Linked DNA regions of Astyanax mexicanus. The protein of the gene in region 2 interacts with the protein of the main gene of each other region in a pairwise test. Links are inferred from orthologs where the notes say so. Each region holds a gene or a part of one and is shown on either strand. Other genes may lie near its edges.

Region 1 (7,967 bases), on a different chromosome or scaffold from region 2:
AATATTTTTAAAGCAACTATCCTACAGTCACCGATTGTCATATTAAAATGCCACTCCAAACAAAAACAAAACAAACTACGCTACCCAGCATCACCTTCCTTCTATTTTCAGTCTGATTCACAGCTCCAGCTCCAGCTGTGGGAATACCAGCCCAGCTGTTTCGCAAGTAGTCTTCTTTTGACAGATTAGTCAATGCTAATCCTCAGACATTAAAAACAAAAGCAGATATGTCTGGCGGGGCCTTGCTGCGTTTTATGTATCCTCACAGGAAGCATATTAATCCAGCAGTATCGGCTTCCTTTCCTAACAATGCGTCCCGAAACAGGAGCAAAGGAGCCCAGAGCTTTGATCAGTCTGCAGACTGTAGATCGATTCAGAAGCTGACAGGGCATAAAACTGCTCGGGCTGGTTTTAAGAAGGAAGGAGGGGGAAATCCTCTGCTTTTGAAGTACCCCCTTTTTTTGCATATCCAGCATATCACAGACTGGAAGAGGGGGGGGTATTGTGTCCCATTTGGATGCTGGTGACCTAATTTCAGCATGGCAACACAGACAGGGGGAGACAGTTAGGAACGCTCAGAATGTACCCCTCACGAATGGGAGGCATTTTAAAGGAATGGTGCACAAATAAAAGCCAATAATCTATGCAGTTTAAAGAGAATGAGCTTAACTGCCAAAGACATATAGCCTCATTATAGCCTTCGTTCAAAGCCTAAAGATTCAACAGCACAAACAAAAACTGCCCAAAGCATTCCAGCACATGTTAGGTGAACCATTTTACGACTTAAGATGACGCACCCATGTAATATTTATGATGTATTGAGATTTTTGGTACAATTTACCTTACACATCAGACTGTGGACACCAAAATTAAATATTACCAATGATAATTTAGCTAGCTAACTGTGTTCCCAGCATTTTGCATGCAGTAATAACGGGCTGCACCCCACATTTTCCTGCTGCTTCCCTTCACTGACTGGGAAAATCTTTCAGCACTTGAAATTATTTTGGCGAAAACAGAAAAAAGGCACTTTTGGTGTTTGGTTGAATAAATGAAAAGAGAAATAATTTATAAGAAACAGCATATGTATACCAAGTGCTTTGTGGGTATATTCTTGCACAAATGTTAACAAGGTTAAGTGTTCAGTTTAAAAATATTTATTGTCGTTTTCGAATGGCTTTAAATCTGAACAGAAAAAAAAAATGATTAAGCCATTTAAATTCATGCAATGGTGAGGAATGTGGCAAAATTAATGAACACCTGCAAAACATGCGATTCGGCATTCAGCCAAAAATTTCATTTAGTTTCATTTTGACGATGGCAGCAGGCCCACACTCTCATCAAAAGGACAAAATGCCAGCATTGGACTAAAAACGCACCATGTTTTATTCTCTACTCACCTAAATTATACACAAACTATACTGTTCAGCCTCACTTATCATGCATGATAGCAGTTTGCTCAATGTATCATCTTTTCACACACTGCCTGTTTTTCAGCTGAAATATACAAGCTGTACAGGGCTAGGACAGTTATGATACCCTTAGTTTTTTTTTTTTTAAAGTTAAGTCAAAATTCTGCACAGTGCATTGTGGCACATTGAGGAATTGAACAAAGCCTTAAGTCTTAAGGCACCTGGAAGTGGTAATGCTCTGTGCTGATTTTGCATACAGTTGGTTGAAAGATAATGTAAGGTATATAAATGCTACATATGTTTCTAAAGTTATACCGGTATAGGTATGTGTCTAATCACTCTGTTTATAAGTTACGTTATAACGTATTTACGTTATAAATCTGTATATCAAATTTTTATGGATGATATATCTTCCCAGAAATTATTGCGATCAAAGATATTATTGTCATTGGCAATTAATTAACAAAATTTTAATCAATCATAGTTTGGCAAATATATGTATATATATATTATTCTTCACCTACTGCAGTCTGTGCACACTGTGTGTAAGGAGTCACAGTTATTGAAGCACTGATTGGTAACTGCATGACCGGCTAAAATACTGTTCACTATTACATATGTGAACAAACATACAAATAAAAACAATAAACATCTATAACATATCATAACTATCAAATTTTACAATAAGTCGAATGTATATTTTCAACTAGTTACAATAAAACAGATTTAAAATGATGTAAAGATTAGGACTAAATTCAGATAAGGGGCTGTTAAACTGAATGGAATAGGTTTTAAATCCCTCACAGTGTACTATATCTCTGTCCTGGTGCTTTAGGATCTCTGTATGAAGCCAACAAACGTAAAGAAAAAGGAAAAAACAGGAAAATACAAAGATTAAACAGATTAAACCTTGATCGTGACCCAACATCTAACTACCAAAGCTCAGACACCAAAGCTGCCTACAGCTAACCTGGGTTAGGCTGGCTATTTTCAGGCTAGCTAGCTATAAGGGGGCAATCTGGCTAATGTTAGCCTGCTAAAACAAGCATATACAATATATCTACCTAACATACAAGTTATCAGAATTAAACATAGGTAACCAGCTTTAAAACAAGAAAAATACTGTAACCTAGTAAGTTACATCTGCTCCTAGCTAACCTACCTAGCAAAAACTGAACAGCATGGCCAAGCTAGTGAAGCTTAAAGGTGAAAAAAAGGAGAAATACTCCTCTATTTTTATCCTGAGATGTGTAAGAAATATGTTATCTGTATAAGCAGTGAGATATTAAGGTATTAATCCTTAAATATGCCGAATAAACTGTTCTAAACCAGCCGTTTGCGTTAGCGCTAGTCACCAATTGAAGCCAAGCTAGCTACGCTAAGCTAAGCTAAGTAGTTAGCTTTAGCGTTAGCTAGCTACGGTTGCTAAGGCAGATATTTAACTAACGTTAGCTGGCAAGCTAGCAACGTAGGCTGTCTGGCAATGAAAAAAAAGGTATTAAAGAAAAGGACAAACTCACAGTTTAAAGACAATAAAAGCACATTTAGGTAGATAACTCTCTGCTCTCGTTAAAAAAATATTTAAAAAATGCTCAAGCTTGTTTTCTACCCTCAATTCAGCCCAGTAAAAACAGCTCATCCAGCACAGCTGACACACACTGCTGCCCCTGCTTAGCTAGCGTTAGTTAGGTCATCTATCTATCCATTTACCCCGTTTTTCAGACATTTAAAGGGCTTTAAATAATCTCACCCACCATAAGAACACTGTCAGAATGTGCATTACCTGTTCAGGTATATAACAATCCAGAATTTGTCGAGATTACGTCGATATTTACAGTTTTATGGGACCAGTCTGTGAGACGCTGCCTCTCTCTTCCTTAGCTGAACGGATGTGTGTCACTTATATTATAAGTGCATCCCATAGAGCTCTGTGGGTCAGTCTCAAGCACTAGTGCATCTAAAAAAATACAATATCATTAAAAAGTAACCTTATTTCAGTAATTCAGTCAAAAAATGTGAAACTCATATATTTTATCGATGTATTACACACAGAGCGATCTATTTTAAATCTTTATTTCTTTTATTGTTGTTGATTGATTATGGCTTACAGCCATAAAAAAAAAATCAGTGTTTTAGAAAATCGGAATATTATATACATAACACCAATTGGTATGTCAGCCTTCCTCATGAAACTTTTCAGGGACAAAAAAACTGTTGCAGATGTGAACTGAGCCTAGTTGAAAACTATATGCTTATGTTCTGGACATGTTCACACAAATTCTATCTGTTTTTTCTTTTTATGGGTTAATATTGTTACTTGATGATTCTATTGTAATGCTGACTGTACAACAAAGGAGTGCTAAAGTTTTGATGGCAGCATCAACAGCAGCCAAGAAATCAATCTTGGTTACACCTGTGGTGTGGATATTTTTTGGACATTCTTATTTTGGAGCGGGTAACAGCTTGTTAACAACAACAAAAAAAGAAGACCAAATGGTACTTTTGGCAGTGTGGGCATTGGGCAGTGTGCCAAGTCCTACTGGAAAATGAAATCTCCATAAAAGTTGTCAGTAGCAGAGGGAAGCATGAAGTGCTTTAGCAGGAAAACAAAACTGCACTGACTTTGGACTTGATAATAAAACACAGTGGATCAACACCAACAGATGACATGTCTCTCCAAACCATCCCAGATAGCCAGCGACTTTGGCCCGGACTCGTTTCTAAGTCGGCACTGCTGGTTTAGAGTCGCAAGCAGAAAAATACTTCTGGCCCACAGCTGGCCCAGTGTCACTTTCTGACTGTTCTAAATCCGTGTCACTGAGCAGTCGTTTTGGTGCTGGTGAACGACTGTCGCACCTGACCTGTTGATTCTCTGAACACAGTTGTGAAATGACTCAAATACGGCAGACGACACACAGCCTGTTATAGTACACACACACACACACACACACACACACACAGCCTGTTATAGTACACACACACACAGCCTGTTATAGTACTGCTTCTCACACACACACACATCCAGAGAGTCTTATTCTATTGGCAATTTTTTTCTACATGGACTATATAAGCTGTGTGTGTGTGTGTGTGTGTGTGTGTGTGTGTGATCGCGTTTAGAGTGTAAATGAATCTAGGTGATATTTACCTTGGTGCCCCTGTGCATCAACCCAGTTCAACCCGTGCGGTTTCTCGTCGCACTTGGCGCGCGGATTCCTCAAACATTAAAACTTTCCTCAAATGTCAGCTATCCTGAAACCTTTAAAGTTTGTAGGTAGGTAGCAAAACTAACTAAGTGTTAAGTACCTTTTTTGAAATATCCTTTATTTTGATTCCATGTATTTAATAAATATTTTGACCGTCAAATATGAGTTATAACCCTATCTGTGTGTTGTCTCTTCAGTTAGCTAAGCTAGCTAATTTAGCAGCATATCAAGGTGATATTATCTGAGGCTAAATTATCTCAGAATGTAGCATTAAACACATGCCATGTTAATGTAAATGTTAATGTAACAGTTACTAACAGACAACCAAAAAATATGTTTTTACTTGAAATTAAAATTGTTAACTATCTAGCGTACAAGGCCAGAACAGATCTCAGCCAGCTTCAAGAACAGTCAGAAACCAGTTGTTCAAAAAGACACTGGGCCTAGTCCGGTGGCCAGTACTGGGCCACCTTTGAGGACAGTCAGAATCCAGCTAAGGCCCAATTCTGGGCCAGCACTCGGTGGCTATCTGGGATCACTGATCATCAGTAAATTTTACATTTCATTTGTAGATTAAGGGAGCAGAGTCTGGAGGAAGAGTGGAGAGACACACAGTCCAAACTGCTTGAGGTCTAGTGTGAAGTTTCCACAATCAGTGAAAAAAGTGTTGCCTCGTGCACATATATTGATTTTATGCGTGAATATTATTTAACAGTTTTTTTAAACAATCTGCTTTACATATAATATGTTATATAAGCATATATAATTTGTATATATAATATAATAAAAAAAAAAAATCCTAAGGGCGTCCATTTTCACCCAACCAAAAAACACTCGAACGCATGTCAAGTCTTATGTACGACCTCCAACCTCGTAAGTAGGACTTGAGGGGGTATATAGGACGTCTTCCTGTACAAATGTATAATATGAAAATATAAATAAATATACGGATGTGTACTGAAATAAACTAACAACTTTTTTCGCAGTTCAGGACGTTTTTTTTGGTATCACATGAAAACTTTCTCTTGTCCCTCTCATTCTTGTCAGGCCATCTCTCTGAAGCTTGGTGTTATAAATGCTATATAGTGAATAAGTTAATGAGTGAACCCATGGGCGTGGTAGTGGGGGGAAAAGTGGACCTGACTACCCAGGGCCCTAGTAGGGAGAGGGGCCCATGAAAATCCTGATTTTTTTTTTGCTCACTTTCCTTTGTTTACTGGCATGGATAGGGGCCCATTAACAATGAGGGTGTACAGGGCCCAGAATTTGCTGCTACGCCCCTGAGTGAACCATTCGAAACACACTTAAAAGTTCCTTCTGTTGCACAGGATAATTTAATCAAAGTTACCAGCCTCAGAGTTAACAGCTCCCCAGATAAGAGCACCTAAATAAGTATTTTGGCTTGTTTAACAGTTTTAAGTTACTACACGATTCCTTATTTGTTCCTTCATAGACTGGATCACTTCAGTATTCATTTACAATGTAGAAAAAAAAAATAAAAAATAAAAACATTGAATGAGAAGTTGTGTCCAAACTTTTGAATGGCACTGTACAGCATCAGCCAACAGTTTGGACACCCCTTTTCATACTAAGTTTTTCTATATTTCTTAATTTATTTTGTTTTCTGCAAGTGTTCCTAGGCCCATGCAGTCACTTATGTCAGTTTTTAACCCTTTCATGCATGGTGTACACTACAGTGGGCGCATATTTAAACATATTAAAAAAACAAAAGATTTGCAATATATACTCCAAACCACCAGGGGCTGTCTTCTAAACCAACTCTTTATTGTGTACAAATAAATGTCTTAATCAATATTCTCAAAACTGAGATATTGCATCAGAAATCCAAGATGGCGACCAACAGTGAAAATGACATTTTGACCTCTGGAATATCAGTCAAATCTTTTTATTCTGCAAGAAACATGCAGGTATACACTTTTTTTTCTAATTAAGAATGTAGTAAGGAACACTTTTATGAAAGTTTCATCAAAATTGGTAATACAGTTTTTTTGGTTCTGTGTCCAAATGTAACTGTCCACTATAGTGGACGTCATGCACCAATGGTAACATTTAGATTATAAGGACAATGAGTGAATTAGCTAAATTAGCTCTAATTATTGTTATTTTGATATATTATTAATTTTATAATAATATTATAATACTAATATAGATATATTATTTTTACAATATTATATTATTGTAGTGTTATTATACATATTATATGTATATATGTATTAGTATTATATATTATTATATGTATTATTATGGAAATATTATTATAAACTCATTTGTTAATTGTAATTGTAATTTATATTTTTTATGATATATTCCATCATAACAATATAACAATAGTAAACTACTGGTAAGAATAGGGTAAAATAAGGGTAACATTTATATAATAAACATCATAATTAAAATTCTCCAACTGCTTGCCTGAGCAATGAGATGTTTTTTTTTTATTTTTATTAAATTCTTTTTAAAATTATGTATATGTGCTAATTTGCTATTTAATGTCTGCACATCTCCAAAATGGGAAAGGCTGGATTTTTTTTAGTTATTACTTAGTATATTTTAAAGTTTAGGGGAGCCAATAAAAGTTGTTTTGTGCACTTTGCACAAAACAACCTTTATTGGCTCCCCTAAACTTTAAAATGTTTGTCAAGTTGTATAAGCCTGTGTGTGTGTGTGTGAGTGAGTGTATGTATGCAAGCATGTTCAGTTCTGTTGCATTGTTATCCAATGCATGGGTTTAATGAGGTATTTTCTTCAAATTTGCTGGTGCGACCAGACTCTTGATACTTTTGTCTAAACTGTTTTTACATTAAAGCTTTTTTTTATATGAACAGTTCCCATAATATATTGTTTCTTTGAGCTATAAACATGAAATAGAACATTTTCTACTAAATTGATCTTAATTAAGATCAAAAGATCTTAATCCAAAAGTATTGGATGGGGAACACAGTTCCACTGCTCCACATGTCAGTGCTGGGGGGCTTTATGCCCCCCATACCCAACACCTGCCAGGCATTAAAGGAGAACTCTGGTGTAAAATGGAGTTTTGGTGTAGTACAACATGATAAAAAGTACTTACTTTTGATGAAGAGCACACCTCCGTTCTCCCACAGCGTTCTGAGATCCAGATATTTTAACAGTTTGTCCAAACACCCTGCAGACTGGGTGAAACGGGGCATAAATGCCCCAATAAATTGCTTTTTCCACCGTTATTCAGCTCAAAGTAGTGCCACACCTCCTTGCTAGAATCCAGAGAGACATTTAAAACGAGGCATTAATAACTTAAAAAGGGCACAAGAAGCTTATTAAAAACCTCTGTTTACATCCTATAATGCTAGCT
Region 2 (8,203 bases):
AATGAATGAAAAAATGATGGAAAGAGACCTTTATTTAAGCAGTTTTTTTTACCATCAAATGCTTCTGTAGCCCAGAAAGATCTGCAGCATTCACACCTCAAGACATCAAGACTGGGATCATCGGGAGAGGTTAACAGTCAGATCAGTGTACATTATTTCAAAACATTTTAGACTTATCTTTGGTTTGACAATTACTTACCAGTGTTTTATGGGAAATCATTGAGAAATATGAGCCAGGTATCACTTATAACATTGTCCTAGGCATTGTTAGGGAGACCAGTCGTCAAAAGTGATTAGAAAGAATTTTGCTTTGAACTGACTTAAATAAGGCACAAATAAATAAGTGATTAAAAAAACTGTATAAAACTGCTGCTTCTCCTGTTGTTGATGTGCACTGCAGCCATCTTGAATTCTGAACTTGCAGTTTGTACGACTCTCCTGACTTTTTAAGAGGGATATCAGTCTTGTTGAGGCATTCCAGTTGAAATTTCCTACTCGGAAATCCCGAGATCTGAGTTTAAATGGAATGAAGTATTAGCACTAAAGTTCTTGAAAACTCAAATCACAAGCTCACAAGTTTGTAGCACACAAAGATGAGAGTCAGACATTACCAGACACATCTCTGAAACTCATGTTACTAAGGCTCTGTCTGGTAATTACAGCAAAGTGTGACACTTCTTTTCCAGCCAGGTGCTCGTAACTGAGTGACGTAAGCTGGGCAGAAAGTGGTTAGCCAGCACACGGCTCAGTAACACTGTTCACTCCGACTCCATGAAGAAGGACACTTGAAAAAGTGCATCTAAAACAAGAACACAGAATAAATACATTACATAACTTATATAATGAAGAGCAGAATGGGAAAACAGCAGAATGCTTCAGTATCTGTTGGTGGCAGAACTATTTTACCTGATATTCTTTCTTCTTTATCAGGAGAATCTAAAGATGCCCATCTCTTTGGTGCTGCTTCCATCAGTGTGAGGTCATCAGGCTTTAAGGTCCACAACAGGTTCTTCCTCTGTATGTATCTGAGGATGTAACTGAGGAGAATAATATAACATACTTCTACTTTTCACACTAATCTATTAAGTTAAAATAAATCATTTATTTTCTTTACTATACTAAGTTATTTTATTTTAACTGCCTTTGTGACTTACATCTGAATATTAAGTATTTTTATTGTAAAAACAGTTCCAAATGAAAAAGAAAAAAATAACTGATTGACATATGGTTTTTCGTTTGAAGGGCTCACAAAAACAACTAAAATCAAGGGAAAATGTAAAATCATTTTGAAATACTAGACTAATCTAAAGAATCCGACCAGCCCTATTGTTCAAGAGCGCCATATCATTAACAATTATAATGACTTTGAGACTCAGATGCTGCTCATCCTAATACATTTCTACAATTTCGGTTGCATTAAAAGGCATGATTTGTCAGAATATTCACATGTTTACTTACATTTTTTGTTGCAGAGTTGTGAGGTTTGTGACTAGAATCAAACACCCGATGCTGACTCTTATCAAGAATTAATACAAAGTCTAAACAAGTATAATTTATTTGCTAATAAAACAGCTGTATGTTACAGCCCAGCATTGTTGTTTTGGCAACTAAAAAAGCCATTTTTATTGTGATGACTGAACTATCGTGTAACATTTGGCACCAGAGAAAAGACCAAATTAGCTGTTTCAAACTGGTTAACATAAAATCATAATCTGAAATGTGATAAGGCAAGGGGAAAGCTATTACATTTCTATTAACAATTATAGTAAAACAAAACTAAAATTCAATGTTTTAAATGTTATGATATCAACATGACCGGTGATAGCAATAAAATAAAAAGAAAAATGTCAGGTTAATTTCTAAATGCCACTGATGAATCTTAGCACGTCTAGGATACTGAACACGGTAGTAGCACTCTGCATCCTGGAGCCATTCCAACATATCAGCAATAGATGGAGAAGTGGCAGATCTGGCAACACAAGTGTGCAGATCCAGGGAGTCTGCATTCTGCTCATACAGCTGGAAAACTGCAAACACCTGCTTACTTGTGGAATCCCGAACTCCTTGAAGTGTTTCTCTGCAGAGCAATAAAACAAAACACTCATGGATGAGAAAATTCATAACATCGCTGTTTAAATCTTAATAACCCAAAACAGGAAAAACTTTCCTCACTTCCTTTAAGTACAGGATTTCATATACATACACTGCATTCGCCAATTGCTAGACATGAGCTAGAGAGGTATAAAGCATACATAACATTTTGAAATTATGAATAAAATACTTGATAGCATGTATCTGTAGAATCAGAAGACTTAATTCACCAAGAACCTGCAGTGCAAGAAATCGGTGTAGGTTTCAGACATACATTCAAAGTTGAACTTTTAAATGTAGTTCTGGCCTTCCAAATGTGATTGGTTTGTTAAATAACAGCTAAAGGTTTATTTTACAGAAAAAAACTGAAAAAACTGTTTTTGAACACATATTTGTCTGCATTACCTTTTATCTTGTGTGTTAATTTTTATTTAACTTGTTTTATATTTGTTTGTTTTCCTTATGCCAAATGAAAAGGACTGTTCCTTTTCATTACCCTGCTTTAGAAATGCAGGTAAAAATAAGTCAATATCATATTGTGCAATAATGCAATGATAAAGTTTAATTTTCATTTTGTTGCAGTATTTTGTAATATCTTTAAGAGTACCGTTATCATGGAAATACCATGAAATATTGTGATATTATTTTAGGGCCATATCTACTGTACAGCTTTAATATAGTCTTTAATATTAAATGTACAATGTAAAAAAATCATAAAAAGAAAGAAAACACATTGAATGAAAAGAGGTGTGACTGTTACTGTATGTACAGCAACAAGTTAAAGTGTATATATGCATGAACTTACATTTTTTCACTTAATTTCCCTAAGACAGTGTCTACTGCCTGTGCCAGCTTGTGCTGGAGACGTGGTTGTAGATCTGGAAAGTGACAGAGCGGAGTGCTGGCTAGATCTACACTCTTCAGCGCCCTCAGCTGCTCGGCCAGGTTCCCCAGAGAGCTGATCAGAGGTGAACACTCGACCAGAGCAGATCTCCAAACCTCCTTGTTCACCTGAACACTCTGGAAGCATTTCCTTAGCTCCTGCTGTAAGAGCAGCAGTGCAGGCTGAGACATAGTTAATCTAACTAACTATAGACTACTAAATTACCGCCTGTCTGAGTGCAGCTAGCTCCAATACTGCTAATCTGACCAACATATCAACCCTCAGTATGAAATATAAATGCTCAATGTATATATTTAAACGCTCAATCCCTGCTCACATATCTGACAAACATAAACATACCCAGTTATATGTTTTCTATAGTCTTCTAAAGAATGTTTACCATCTAATACCCAACACGTGCTAGCTAGCTTAGTTATTAACAAACCCAGCACCAGCATTTTGATGCAAGTCAGAGTGCAAAACGATTTTCTGTCATAATAAAAGTTCCCCCAAAATGTAATAAAATTCTGTTTTAAGTCTGTAAATTAAATACTATGAACTAGGTTGACAATATATAACGTTTAAAACTAATTAAACGTTTTTTAAAACTTAGAAACGCATAAAATAATGTAGATAATCAAAGAAAAAGTAAGAAACATACTGTTCTTTATAATGTCTCTTTTTTATTATTAGAGTTATATCTCCGCAAAACTGTGTAACATAATACTTGTTTTAGTACAATTTCTTACTTTTTATTTTATTATCTACATTATGTATGCGTTTATATGTTTCAAAAAGCTTTTAATTAGTTTTATACTCTATATATTATTAAACTAGTTCATAGTATTTCTTTTACAATTTTTTTATTCCATTTAAGGGGGCTCTTATTTTGACAGAAAATCTTTTCGGACTAAGCTACAAAACACATGACACATGCTTTCCACTAAGCTCTTCAGCGATTGGTCGTTTTTTGTATTGTTCCTTAAACAGTAGCTGATTGGTCCGTGACGCCGGCGTAATAGACGCATACAGAAGCTGCCCGGTCATTGGTTGAGCTGCTGCTCCGCGAATGAATTTGAAAAGTGTTGCTTCCAACCGCCACCAGTTTAGGGAGCGTCGAAAAGCAGCGAAAGGAGCAGAAAAATATACAAAAATAAAAGGAAATATAAAGGAATATAAAGAATTCAGAACAGGTAGGTAAAGAATATTGTCTTAGAAGTGTTGTTAACACAATGTTTACACGTTTAAGTGTGCATAAAATTAAACATTTAGCGTGTAATTATCTGGCCTAGTGTTATGTTACAGGTCTACAGTAGTTAGCTAGTCAGCCTCAGCATTGCGTCTTTCTTTCTTACAGAAACACAATGGCTCCGAGAAAACGAACAACCAACGCTAAAACCAAGAAGAATATAAAAATGCCGAAATTAGAAGCGTTTCTTCTGGACTTCGATGATGAAGGTAAGATTGTTTACACTAAAACCATTGACTATTGTTAACTTTAAGGCTGCTTACGCAGTTAGCTTGCATTAAAAAAGACTAACTACAGTTAAAATGCCAGCTGGGAGGATCCCAACAGGTAAAATGTTTAAAATATGGTTAAAATGTGAGCTTTAAGCTTTTGTTTATTATTTTTGTATTATTCCAATGTTAAACCTATACTGTATTATAATTCTAGCTAGTGTTTTGGTATAATGAACTGCCTTTAACAGGAAAATGACAATAATGGAAATTTAATTTTGATGGAGACCACAGCTCCACAGCTTTTATCACAGCTATTAAGTAATTTTTATTTTGGGTCCTTTACTCAATTCACACAGACATGTTTTATGTTTTTCTATAAATTTATTTTATATATATTTTTATGTATATAGTGCAGAATGTGTTTTTTTGTGTGTATAGCTGTATGTATATTTGTAGCAGGACCGACAAATTGAATAGATTGACAAATAAGTAGTAGTTACATACACTCGTGCAAAATACAATGTAGATTTATTGGTTAAATGTTTTTTATGCACATGCCTAATTTTGTTTAAATAATTATTGCACACTTTCTGTAAATCCTCTAAACCTAATTTCACTTTTTTGTCTGCTGTATGATATGTTTAACTGAATAACCAATTATTTATAAACGAAAAGGATCAGGGTTTTTTTGGCTAGACAAACAAATGGCAGTGTGACCTTAATGATACGGACGGACGATTGGATGGATACATTGGAAGATAATTAATAAGTAGTAGTGTTAAAGTATTGATATTTCACAGAGTAGTTAGTATATAGTTGGAGTACTTACTATGATGCATGCATGGTAGCTGTGAATTTAAAAATTCTGGGCAAAATAATTAAAAGGAAAGTGTCCAGTGCAGATAATGCAATATCATTGGTAAAAACAGATTTACAGTGCTGTATAATCTCATGGCTGCAAGAAGAAATTACCTACAGCAGGACAGGAGGAGTCTGTTGCTGAATGTATGACTCTGATCATAGAGAAGCCCTTCCACCAACTTTATAAAACATTACACAGACAGACATTTTTGCCAGTATCTGCCTCTTCATGTTTTTTACTACATCCAGTTTAGCCCCAAAAACTAAGCTCACCTTTCACCAGATTAGTCTCTTGTTTGTGTCAGGAAGTAGTTAGATTTCGTCGTAGTTTCTCATCTCGGGTTTTAGTAGGGGACTGTTCAGCTTCAGTAACATTTTAACATCAAATGTTATTGATTTTTGTACACAGTGCGCACCATAGTGGAGAGGATGAAGGACAAGACCAACAATCTGTTAAAGGATGCAGACAACCTGTACAACATGGCTCTGATCAAGCTGCCTATGTCAGTGCGACGGATGAACTGGATTCAGTACTGTGGTATGTACATACACACTTCCGTCCATTTTAGCTACATAATTCCATTCATGTTTTATCACATTGTGTTCTTTGTTTATCTACCAGGTGTTAAGAGTTTGTGTTTTAACAGGCAAGGGATACTGTTATAGGACATTCTGAATCTTATGTTTTATTCTTTTACATAGATTCTGAAAAGCCAGAAGCACCTGTCGATGAGTCCAAGGCAAGTCCTCATTTCCACTGTTGATCATCTCGGAATGACTGTTTTAAGGTTTTATGTGTGAGATGTACATGTTCTATTTTTCATCTGTTGTTTCTGCTTGCAGCAAAAGGAGGTGGCTGCACAAGTAGAGATGACCATAGCTCATGATCATGCTGTTCCTCCAAAGTCTGCCAAAAAAGGTAACTACTGCTTTCTTTTGATCTTGTTTTTGATATTATTCTTAGTTATTTCTGTGATGGTGATGTTAATCATGTCTTCTGTGTTTATTGATAGCTGCTAAGATCAGCTCAGGCTCAGAAAATGAAGAGAACTTAGTACCCAAGTCTACGACAAAAAAGGTCAGTCTAAACTGTTAAGATATTATGTAGCTAAACAAAGAAATCAGGTCTGCAACAATTTTGTGGTCCTGTATTTTGAAGGTGCGAATATTCTGTTTTGCCATATTCAGATATGTTTGGTCCCCCCCCCCCCCCCCTCTTCGTTTTATCATTGTCATTATTTGCATTTTTTTAATTAAGATTAAAGAGCTAAATGTTTGTTTTTTTTAAGTTTTATCCATCCTTATTCTATGGCTTACAATTGCCCTAATTTTGTCATGTTTATCACAGGGAAGGCAAAAGAAGGCACCTTCAACTTCAAAGAAAGCCAAAGCTCTTTCAGTCAGCAAACAGAACAACACTATTAGAAAGTAAGTTTTATTTCTTATCTACATTTTGCTCATTTTAGGTGACCATTAACTATTGTATATAAATGTTCATTTACCGGTAAATTATTATTTGATTGCAGATCTAGTAGAAAGCCTTTGGTCACCCCAGCAAGAAGTTTCCTGGATTCCTCCATAATCGGTCCGACACCACTCATCACGCCTCGCTTTGATTCCAGGTGACTCCATAATTTTTAATTTGGCCAAATTTCAGACTAAAAGAAACTGTTAATAGAGCAGCCAGGTTTAATCAGCTACTGGCTACTGTTAAACATGGTTGCCTGGTTGACTCTTTAATGGAATGTCAGTGTTTGTTTCCTGGGGGTAAATTATGTGAATTTAAGTATGATGTACTCTTATCTTTTAGGTTGCCCAAGACTCCTGCAGTGCGAGTTCCCCGTCACAGAGAGAAGGTGTACAGCATCTCTGTTAACGGATCTCCTATTGCTGGAAGCAGTGAGGACATTGTCATTAATGTCCCTCTGGGAAGTGGAGAGGTTTGTTGCTTCTTCTGTCTCAAGCTAAAAAATTCAAGTGTCCTTTTTTATTTTTTAGTCAGAAAATAACAGCAGCTTCTCTTTGTTTCCTCTTTTCTCAGTGTATTCAGCTGCTGGCCAGTGAGATGGACTGTATTGATCTGAGCCAGTTGGATGAGAAGGCGGTGCGCAGTATCAGACAGCTGCAGGTATTTATTTGTTGTGAAGTGGAAGCCTGTTATTCCTTAAATACTGTAAAACACATGATTTACTGTTCTGTTTTCTTTTGCACAGAGCCGACTCACAACCCTCTGTGGAGGATCCAAGTGACCTGACTGCTTCTGCTCTCATTTCCTTTCTTTTAAAAAATCAGACACCACCCTAAATCGTCACACTTTTATTCCTGTTTATAAAGTAGCTTTGTCTAGTTTTATCCTTTTATCTTTGCATTTCTTTTAAATACTGTCTCCTTTTTCTGTCAGGAATTTTCATGGGCATTTTACATTTGTACATATTTCCGTTTGCATGTAGTGTTTTCACATGTGGTGTCTTGTAATATGTTTGTAAATACAATTCATTTGCAACAGATTTCAGATTTTTTTTCTTCTTAATTGTATTCATTTTATACTATTACTCATGAGGTGAATTAATACTGGATATGTATATTAGGAAATTATACTCAACAATGGACCTTTTTTGTTTGTAAGTGAAGTGCAACTTTTCACCATATAGAAATGTGTATATAAAAAAAGCTGTTTTCAATTTGTGTATTGTGTGCTTTTCCCTTTCTAGCCTGGGTTTAAGTTTTAGTGAAAAAGAGTGACTGTGCTTTTAGTATCCTGTGTATTTAAGTCCTGTAGAGGGCAGGCGTGCTGCAGCTGCAGTCATCAATCAGTCAAATCCAAAAACTGTAGAAACACACAGACGGGCAACATCTCTAGCGAAACCATAAGTCAGTGCTCCACCCATCCCTCATAGGTTTCAGTAA

Evidence for each region. The genes of interacting proteins can lie anywhere in the genome.
Region 1: the proteins of c19h1orf109 (region 2) and rnf41 interact in binary tests that used the Homo sapiens proteins (3 or more experiments, as listed by UniProt). The two-hybrid records come from large-scale screens. The link is inferred for Astyanax mexicanus from reciprocal best matches to the Homo sapiens genes AIRIM and RNF41.

Annotation. Positions count from the first base shown.
Region 1 is NC_064420.1:45,036,588-45,044,554, forward strand, and holds the start of rnf41 (E3 ubiquitin-protein ligase NRDP1), read right to left. Parts: upstream 3,348-7,967; 5' UTR 3,196-3,347; intron 1-3,195. UniProt on the Homo sapiens protein: Acts as E3 ubiquitin-protein ligase and regulates the degradation of target proteins. Polyubiquitinates MYD88. Negatively regulates MYD88-dependent production of pro-inflammatory cytokines.
Region 2 is NC_064410.1:53,550,763-53,558,965, forward strand, and holds the start of c19h1orf109 (uncharacterized protein C1orf109 homolog), read right to left. Parts: upstream 3,445-8,203; 5' UTR 3,166-3,444; coding exon 2,897-3,165; intron 2,078-2,896; coding exon 1,898-2,077; intron 1,026-1,897; coding exon 907-1,025; intron 800-906; coding exon 759-799; 3' UTR 1-758. Other genes in the region: cdca8 (borealin), read left to right, coding at 4,339-4,432, 5,706-5,834, 5,999-6,036, 6,140-6,215, 6,310-6,374, 6,645-6,724, 6,823-6,918, 7,107-7,236 and 2 more. UniProt on the Homo sapiens protein: Part of the 55LCC heterohexameric ATPase complex which is chromatin-associated and promotes replisome proteostasis to maintain replication fork progression and genome stability.